Linked DNA regions of Yarrowia lipolytica. The protein of the gene in region 1 interacts with the protein of each later gene in a pairwise test. Links are inferred from orthologs where the notes say so. Each region holds a gene or a part of one and is shown on either strand. Other genes may lie near its edges. The genes, in order: YALI1_C17609g and YALI1_B00273g.

The links.
Region 2: the proteins of YALI1_C17609g (region 1) and YALI1_B00273g interact in binary tests that used the Saccharomyces cerevisiae proteins (3 or more experiments, as listed by UniProt). The link is inferred for Yarrowia lipolytica from reciprocal best matches to the Saccharomyces cerevisiae genes SLP1 and EMP65.

Annotation. Positions count from the first base shown.
Region 1 is NC_090772.1:1,758,519-1,762,951, reverse strand, and holds YALI1_C17609g (uncharacterized protein), read left to right. Parts: upstream 1-2,032; coding exon 2,033-3,868; downstream 3,869-4,433. UniProt on the Saccharomyces cerevisiae protein: May be involved in membrane protein folding. Required for localization of MPS3 to the nuclear envelope.
Region 2 is NC_090771.1:24,922-29,386, reverse strand, and holds YALI1_B00273g (uncharacterized protein), read left to right. Parts: upstream 1-2,011; coding exon 2,012-3,751; downstream 3,752-4,465. Other genes in the region: YALI1_B00280g (uncharacterized protein), read right to left, coding at 610-1,359; YALI1_B00242g (uncharacterized protein), read right to left, coding at 4,374-4,465. UniProt on the Saccharomyces cerevisiae protein: May be involved in membrane protein folding.

The DNA.
Region 1 (4,433 bases):
GTTTCCGGTTCCTTTCAAGGCTTTCTACCGTCACTTCTCATAACCCGGTAGTCATCTTCACTCCTGGGTTTCTTCAGAAAAAATCGTTTAGTTTTTGTTAGTTTAGTTTTTGTTAGTTTAAGTTTTTGTTAAGAGTTCCCATCCAGTCCTTTGGAGGGGCAATTTTAATAGACAACTTTGTTAGGGTATCGAACGAACATCAAGCTGTGAGGACAGACGATACAACCTGTTCGGCTACTTTGACTATGCTATTAGCCCTGCCTTCTGCGTCGCGCTAAAAGTGAAGAATACGCCGCTTCTACAGAAACCTGGGCTTCATGATAGCTAATACAGCTCTAGACAAGAAACCTCTTACCGCGGCTTAGCAACTGCCTCAAAAAGATGCTGAAAACCTCTGGCTTTCCTGTCTTTTCCCCTTAAAAAGCGGGGAGTTTATCTATATGCCATAGAGTCGTTTCTCCACAAGTTCCGTTTATACATTCGTGTATTTTGAGCACGGAGGTCTGCCAATGATCATACAAAGAAGATATGGAGCACTCACACTAAAGAAACACGGAGAGATCCGTTTGCACGGCTTGATTATATCCCTTTGGATACGTTTCCAAGTGGTATACTTTGCCAGTATCGGTTTACAGACATGGATCTACGTAGACTGTATGTAGTCAAGCGGTTCCAGATACATGAAATGACGATAAGAAAGATTTAGCCAAGGAAACCAGCTGATGAAGTTCTCATAATGAAAACTGCGACAGAAACAAACCCCCTAGACCTCTAAACCGTGCCCCAAAGACCCTCTCCAGACGAAACCTGGCCATTTTGTAAACCGCATTTTAGTCGGAAGCGGTTCTCTCGCCCATTCCAATTTGGCAACAAGCAAGCGTAAGAGTCATTTAGTTTTGGTGAATCACTATCACATCCTCAAAGAGAGGACTCATTCTGTTCAAACAAGTCTAGCTGGGTCTATGACTGAAAATATCTGGCTAACAGAACAGAACAGAACAGAGAAGTCCCTATCTAATACGAAGACTAGACAGATCTTTACAGTTATTAGGTATAATAGCTCTTTTTAAATGATTAAGAGACTTGTTGTCTTTGTTTCGAATCTTTTACCGCGGTCCAGTCCATGTCAATGTCTCTAATGCTACTGTATTTACTGTAATTGAAAAAGAAGAAAGAAAAACTCCTCTCAAATGGGAAACAAACGGACCACACCAAGTGAAGAGCTTGATAAACATACTTAATAATGACCATTATTGCATTTTCAAAAGTTCCCAGGGCTTTGTGAGCTCGATTGGTAGTATGAGATTGAATTGTTGTCTGTAGTCCACTATACAAGAAAACGCAGCATTCCAAAGGTAAAATTTCCATAAAATTGTAGATTCGCTTTCATATTTAGACAATAAATGTCCAGATTAAAAGTTCTCCAAACCCCACCTGTCTTCAACTGTCGAAAACTGACCTTTTTTTTTTTTTTTTTTCTGAATAATTTGCTGCTCCACTTTAGTTGACTGTAGTTGTGTACGTTGGGTTTTGTTGACATTTTTGTTAGGTATGAACTGCTTGAGCCCGACTTTCGGGAATGAATGTATATGCAGAAAAAACGAAGAAATTCGAGTCTTGTTACTCAAAAACCACCACAATTCCAACCATGTCGTCCCTCCTATCCCTCCTAACCCTCAAGACTAGCATTTCTTCTTCTGCCAACGTGATTACATAACCAGATCGACTCCCGCAATTAATCAGCACCCAACTTCAGTCTAACACTGTAGAGCGGTGCAGATATGACGCAATGGTTGTATCAGATGTGAACGTCAGATCACGAGACTTGGGCTCAAATATTCCTAGATCCGTTCCCTAATCGAGATTGCCACGGCTCAATAGTCCGACTCTCTCCTCAATTGAGTCCTTCCTAATCCCCCTAATCTCCAATTTCCAATCTCCAGTCTCCACCACCCCCTAATTAAGTTTCCTACAGAAGTGTGATATCTGTCGACATATTGAAAAAAAAACACCGACCTCTGAAAAAGCGCAAATGAACCTCTGGAAACTGGTCCTCACGGCGGGGTTGGTGATGTGCGAGTCTCAGGCGGGCCAACCGACGCCGTCGCACCCGGCCCCGACGCTGCGATCGTTCGAAGAGTGGCGAATACACAACCTGTTGCAGAGCGGGCAGAACCTTGGATCGACGCCAGGAAGCGGTCCCGGACACAGTAACGGCGGTGGTGGAGGCAGCGAGCCGGAAATGGACCCGTTCACGGGCGAAATCGACTTTCTCTTCGCGGCGTCCGACGACCCGGGCAAGACCTACAAGGATCGGTTCAACTACGCGTCGTTCGACTGCGGAGCTACGGTCGTCAAGAGCAACAAAGATGTCAAGGGAGCAGGGGCCATTCTCGTGGAGAACAAGGACTCGTACCTACTCAACAAATGTGTGGCCGGCAGCAAACATGTGATCATCGAGCTGTGCCAGGACATTCTCGTCGACCAGGTGGTGGTCGGCAACTACGAGTTCTTCTCGTCCATGTTCAAAGACATCCGAATCAGCGTGGCCGATCGATACCCCGTGGCATCTGGAGAATGGAGAGTGCTTGGTGACTTTACAGCCGACAACATCCGAGATCTACAGACTTTTGACATCACCGTTCCTCAGATCTGGGCGCGATACGTCAAGATCGAGTTCCTCTCACACTGGGGACACGAGTACTACTGTCCCATATCTGTGGTCAGAGTCCATGGAACCACCATGATGGAGGAATGGAAACGCAGTGGAGGAGAGGGTGACATTGTCGCGGGCGAAAAGCTGGACGAATCTCTTCAGGAAGAAACGGCTCAGTTTGAAAAGGCTGAGGAGACGCTCCATGAAGAGAAGATGATCCAGGAGAATGTGGTTGAGAAGTCCAACCCTTCGCTGAACCATACCGTCATCGAAAAGGGCGAATGCATCCCCAAACTGTCGCTGGACAAGGTCAAACTGGGCCTCAACGAATACTGCCGTTTGGATGAGTTCTACCGCAAGATTGAACGTAACAACAGCAATAACAACACCGATACCACCACCAACAACCAATCTAACAACTCCACAACAACTCCACCGACTCAAGAGTCAATCTACAAGACTATCATGAAACGTCTGTCTCTACTTGAGTCTAACGCAACCCTCTCTCTCCAGTACGTTGAGGAGCAATCCAAGGTGCTCAGAGACTTGTTGTACAAGATTGAAAAGAAGCAAAACTCCAAGATTGACGACTTTTTGTTCCATTTCAATGCCACCGTGCTGCAACAGCTTGTCATGTTCTCTCAACAACGAGAACAGAAGCTCAATAGAGCCATCCTTGAGCTTGATCTGCAAAAGAGCCAAACAGACAAGAACATGGCTGCCATTTCGCAACGGTTTGCCATGCTGGCCGATGATCTTGTCTTTCAAAAACGAATGTCCATGTTCCAGGGTCTCATCCTTTTGGTGGTGCTCATCTTTGTGGCTCTGACTCGAGGTACCGGTCCCGAGTTATCTCGAAGATCACGATTGATGTTCAATACAGACGACTCGGAAGACAACTCTGACTTTGGGTCCTTCAGACGCCATCTGAGACGCAACTTCAAGCGAAATATCAGCAGTTTGTCTCCCAGATGGTCGCTGAATCTCACTCCTCAGTCCCCTGTGAGTGATGATGGAGTGGATGAGGGTCTGGGACTCGATAGCGACAGTGAAGACGAGCATATCGAGTCCCCGCCACCTCCCAGGACTCTTGGAAGTCCTCTAGCTACTCCGGGACCCAAAAAGAAGAAGTCCCGTTCGTTATATGATGAGCCTGTTCAGTGGGCAGGAGATACCCCTGAGCCGGTGGACTACATGAGTCCTGGGAGGTGATGATGACGACAAAAAGGACCACAGGCGCGACCGCAACAAAGAAGAATGAAGTTAACACGTATATTTATATTAGCATAATGCATTTTATTGAAGTTCAATGATATAATAGCACCTGACTTCATATCATAAGATGACATTTATGACATTAGACCTTGGCAGCGTCTGTATCTATGCAGTCAGAACTGCAGATGGCAACACGGTTTGAAACCATGTGGAGATCGTGCAAGCTGAAACTAGCGCCAAGCTCCATCTCAGACCGTCGATCTCGTAAAACAATCCACTCGCTTAACCAAGATGAAAGCGGTGTTTGACTCCGACCCTGCAAAGTCAGATTTCATAACACACATGGTTCTAGAACAGAAGAGATGAATGGTACGGGTAAGATGTTTCCATGGAGCGTCTGAAGACCATAGATTGTACAGGGCGTTATCGTATCGTCCAAGCAACCTCACGTTCCACGTCTGTTCCGACTGTCATTTCCAACGTGTCTTTCTCCTTCCCTTCCTCCCTATCTCTTGACCCCCACGCTGCAAGATACAAACCATGTAACCCTGGATCGATGCGC
Region 2 (4,465 bases), on another chromosome or scaffold:
TAGTGATACTGTGCCGTTGGATATATAGTGAGCTTCGGCTGTGGGTTTGAGAGCTGCTCAAAAACGGAGTCCTTTGTACGGCCTTTACCGTATCTACTCACTCCTGAACCCGTCGCTTTTTTGTTTATACCTCATCGTAATATACATTTGTTCCATATCAGCTAGTAGCCATATAAATAGGAGACGAGCGTGGAGGCCGAATTCCTGCACTTTGCAATGAGACCACTCGCCTGTTCATGGAGACGGTATTGGAAGCCTGACAGATCAGAAGATGATACTCTGGGAGATCACAGCGCAAGATAGAGAGGAGACCTAACTCCAGAGAGTCACCCATTCAGACACTAGAAATTATACCACCTCGGAGAGTGTGACAGTGGTGGGCAATGTTCCACTGTCTCCTGCTGTGGCGTATGTCTAAGCCGCTATGTGGAGCTGGGCGTTCTAGTCGAACATGTGGTGCACCTGTCAGTGTTGCCGAATCCAGTCTAAAACCCAGCTGTCACTGTTTCAGATCTTGTTGCGATTCCCGTCTCATGTTATCGTCAGGAATCCACAACTTGATGTCGACGTTGCCTCAACCTGTCATGATAGATTCCTCAATCCGTCTCGCTATCTCCACTGGATTCTCGGCTTATAGCCCTCAATAGCACTGGCCTTATCCTTACTACTCATGTCCTCCAACGACTCGTAGTCTGGCTCCACGTCATTCTCGTCGTCCTCGCGCTCTCTCAGCGAAATCTCCTGGATCTCCTTGCCCAGCTTGGTGATCTCGTCTCCGTTGGCAGGAATGTTCATCCTAGCGAGCTCGGGGTCCTTGAGCGACATCTGCGTGAACCCCTCCACAATCTCAGCCATGGATTTGCCCTGCTGGGCGTCCGACGTCAGTTCCTCCAGCAGGATGATGCTGCCCTCGTACTGTTTGCACGAGCCATAGTCGCCCCAGATGCTGCCTCGCAGGTCCAGAGGGTCCGACGACAGCTGTGCACGATAAAACTGGCTCGCCTGGTAGTGCTGCTTGCTGCAAAAGGTCCGCAGATACGCCCACGGCACGTCAAACTTTTGGTTCTGGGCCAGCGTGCCGAGAATCTTGTTTTTGCCCGACGCAGACTTGGGCACCAGTCCGCACGGAGGGTACCCGCAGATGTGTTCGTAAGTGCGTTCGCCAACCAGCTCGTCGTACACCTCGGGGGTGAGGTATCGCGACGCGTACTTGAAGGTCTGGATGTCGGTTTTCTTCGCCGACAGAGCCTCGATCACGGCGATCGTGATGAGTGCAGAAAGCTGCAGGTTTGGCGGCTCAGACCCCGTGTTTCCAAACCGAGTTCGTAGCTTTTCGATTTCCTCGCGTAGTTGCAACATGAATGTGTGGGGGTTGTTGTGGGTGGTGTGATTACGCGTCAAATGGGGTGTATTTGAAGCCGTTTGAAAAATTGCGGTCGTTTGGTTGCCGTCGTGGATGTGATTATCGGCGGTTTCGTGATTTTCTCGATTTTTTTCCGATTTTTGCGGTTTTTTTTTACCGCCACTCTCAATCGTGTTGCTGTCGTCTGCCTTGCTAGGTGGTCAAGATGCTGAGTTTAAATGGTCTGCAACAGAGACCAGTGACCCGCATTGCAGCCAGACGTACGTTAATACGACAAGAGACGGGGGGACAACTGGAGGACCATGTAGAGAACTAGGGAGATATCTCAATACACAAAACGACCTTGCTTGGTCAGCACATCAGATTGCCACTTTCAGAATTCGATTTCGACCAATATTGCGGTTTCTGGAGAAGTTTTTAGCACAAAGTATTAATCCGGTGTAGATTTGTAATTTTGATCAGAAAAGTTTCAAACATGAAGCTGCTGACTAATTCAACGTCTTATAACGTCCACATTCAGCTTTTTACTCTCTAATCCCCACCAATTACCGCCCACATCCACCCATGTATTTCCCTCTCACTATTGACGTCAGGCAGATGGAAACTTTAATTTGATGTCATCTCCTATTCACTGCAAAATCCCCCACAATGCGAAGGCGAACCAACACGTCGGCGAAAAGCGACCGAATACGTCCGCGGCGGTCTCTGTCGTCTCCGTCGCGTCCGCGGCTGTCGTTTTCAGACTTTGAGGGGTTTGAACGGCCCGAAAACCCGCCGGTTCCACGCTCATTATGGGACTATCTCCAGGTGCACCTCCAGGGCGAACAGCCGTACACCGAGGAGAAAAATGAGCACCTGCTGTCGCTTATCAAGGTGCCGCTGAATCTGGAGATGATCATGGCCTTTGGATTTCTCACTTGCCTCGACTCCTTCCTCTACACGGTCACAATCATGCCTCTCAAGGTGGCCTCAGTACTATGGGGCATAGCCAAACGTCGGTCGACCCGCCACGTGACCATGACCAACATGAGCGACATCATCAAGGCTGTGGTTGTCATTTCGACAATGACCTTCCTGCTGCTCATTGACACCTCCAAGCTCTACCACAACATCAGAGGCCAGAACGCCATGAAGCTCTACGTCATGTTCAACGTGCTGGAAATCACAGACAAACTGTGTGCGGCTTGGGGTCTGGATGTGCTGGAGTCGCTCTTTTCCGCAGGCACCCTCAACAACTACCAGCGACTCGCGACATACATGGGTCTGTACATGGCTTACTCGGCTGTGCATTCAGGGGTGCTGCTGTACCAGATTGTGACCCTCAACGTGGCCGTCAACTCGTACTCCAACGCGCTGCTGACCCTGCTGTTGTCCAACCAGTTCAACGAGGTCAAGTCGACCGTTTTTAAGCGGTTTGAACGCGAGTCTCTGTTCCAGCTCACCTGTGCAGATATCACCGAGCGGTTCCAGTTGTGGGTGCTACTGGTGTCCATCGGACTCCGGAACGTGGTCGAGGTCTCCAATACGGGTCTCGTTCCATCGTCGTGGTCGGGCTGGAATCGATGGCTAGGGGCTCTGCTGGGTCCTGCTCTAGTGGTGCTGGGCTCCGAAGTCGCTGTCGACTGGCTCAAGCACTCGTACATTGCGAAATTCAACAATTTCCGTCCCAGAGTGTACCGCAAGTTTCTGGACGTGCTCACTCAGGACTATCACGAGCATGCATTCAATGACCAGCTCATTACTCGACGAATGGGCCTTCCTACCACGGCTCTGGCGTGCGTCTTCATGCGCATGTGCTACCAGAGCTACCAGATTCTTTTCGAGTCTGGAGAGTCGCGTTTTGTCAAGGGAACGCCTACAGTCAGTCCCCAACTGAGAGAGACATTGGCACAGGTGGACACAAAGTTCGTCAACAACGTGTCCGTTTCTGAGATTGCCCAGGCCACAAGGACGTTTTTCAGCTCGTTGTACAACGGCACATCGCCTCTGGTGTCGTTTTCTTCCAACATTATCCCTGTGTGGGCGAAATTCGACATTTACTATGTGACGTATCTGCTGACGATGATTCTGGTGTTTGCGCTTGTGTTTGCCGTACTGGTCATCTTCAAGTTGTTTCTGGGCCTCACCTTGTTGAGGTACAGTCACAGCAAGAGAAGACGACAGAAGCGAACGTTTGACGAGATGGAAAAGAAGAGATCTGAGTCAATCAAGGACGATTATCTGCCTGGAAAGACGAGGGGGGGACAGGGCGTGATTGAGCTGACGGACGATATGCAGCAGGGTCTGTACAGCGACGGGGAGGAAAAGAAGGAGAAGCAGCACAAGAAGAAGGTGGTGGAGCTGCAGAATGTCAGCAGGTTTGATATGGTGAGCAAGAGGATTTGGTAGCCGAGTGCGGCGAGTGTTCCAATGAAGCGTAGCCTTGGCTACCCGGGGCACCATTCCTCCACTAGCTCGCATACCTCCCATATTTATTTATTTTATGAGCATTTTTAATGATTGGTCATGTGACCGCAGAGATGTATTGCTGTGTCATGCCTTCTCCAGCAGTTCTTGCAAGTCATACGTCTGAGCTGAAACAATCAGATCGCGGTGTTTTCGAGTTGTAGATGGTCTTCAGGGCTTCCCTGAAGAGAATTATCACCGACAGTTTGTCCATATCTCTGGTTGGATCACAAGATACTGTCACTCCAGTCACGACCAGCCAGTAGTACCAAGAGGTGTTTGATTGAACGCTAGACATTCGTCGGTACTGTACTCCAATCTCAAGCTTTTTGCCAGTCGACACTTCTCCTTCCCTCGACTTGCCCTCTCTACTGCCATCGTCAATGACAAACTACACGCCTCTCACCCATTAATCATTCAATCTATTATATACACTTATGGTCTATCTGCTGTGTGCGCATAGTTAACGAGGGACTCAGCAAAGTGACACCAATCGTCTCGCTTTCATTCGGTTAGGTGGCCGCAGTGATCCTCCAAAAGAAGTCAGCCGCTTCGCACCTACTTCTTAGAGGGAGGGAGGCACCTCCTCGCCCTTCTCCTCAGCCAGTCGCTTCTCGAGCTTCTCAAACTCCTCGAGAGAAACCTTCTCCTCGGGAT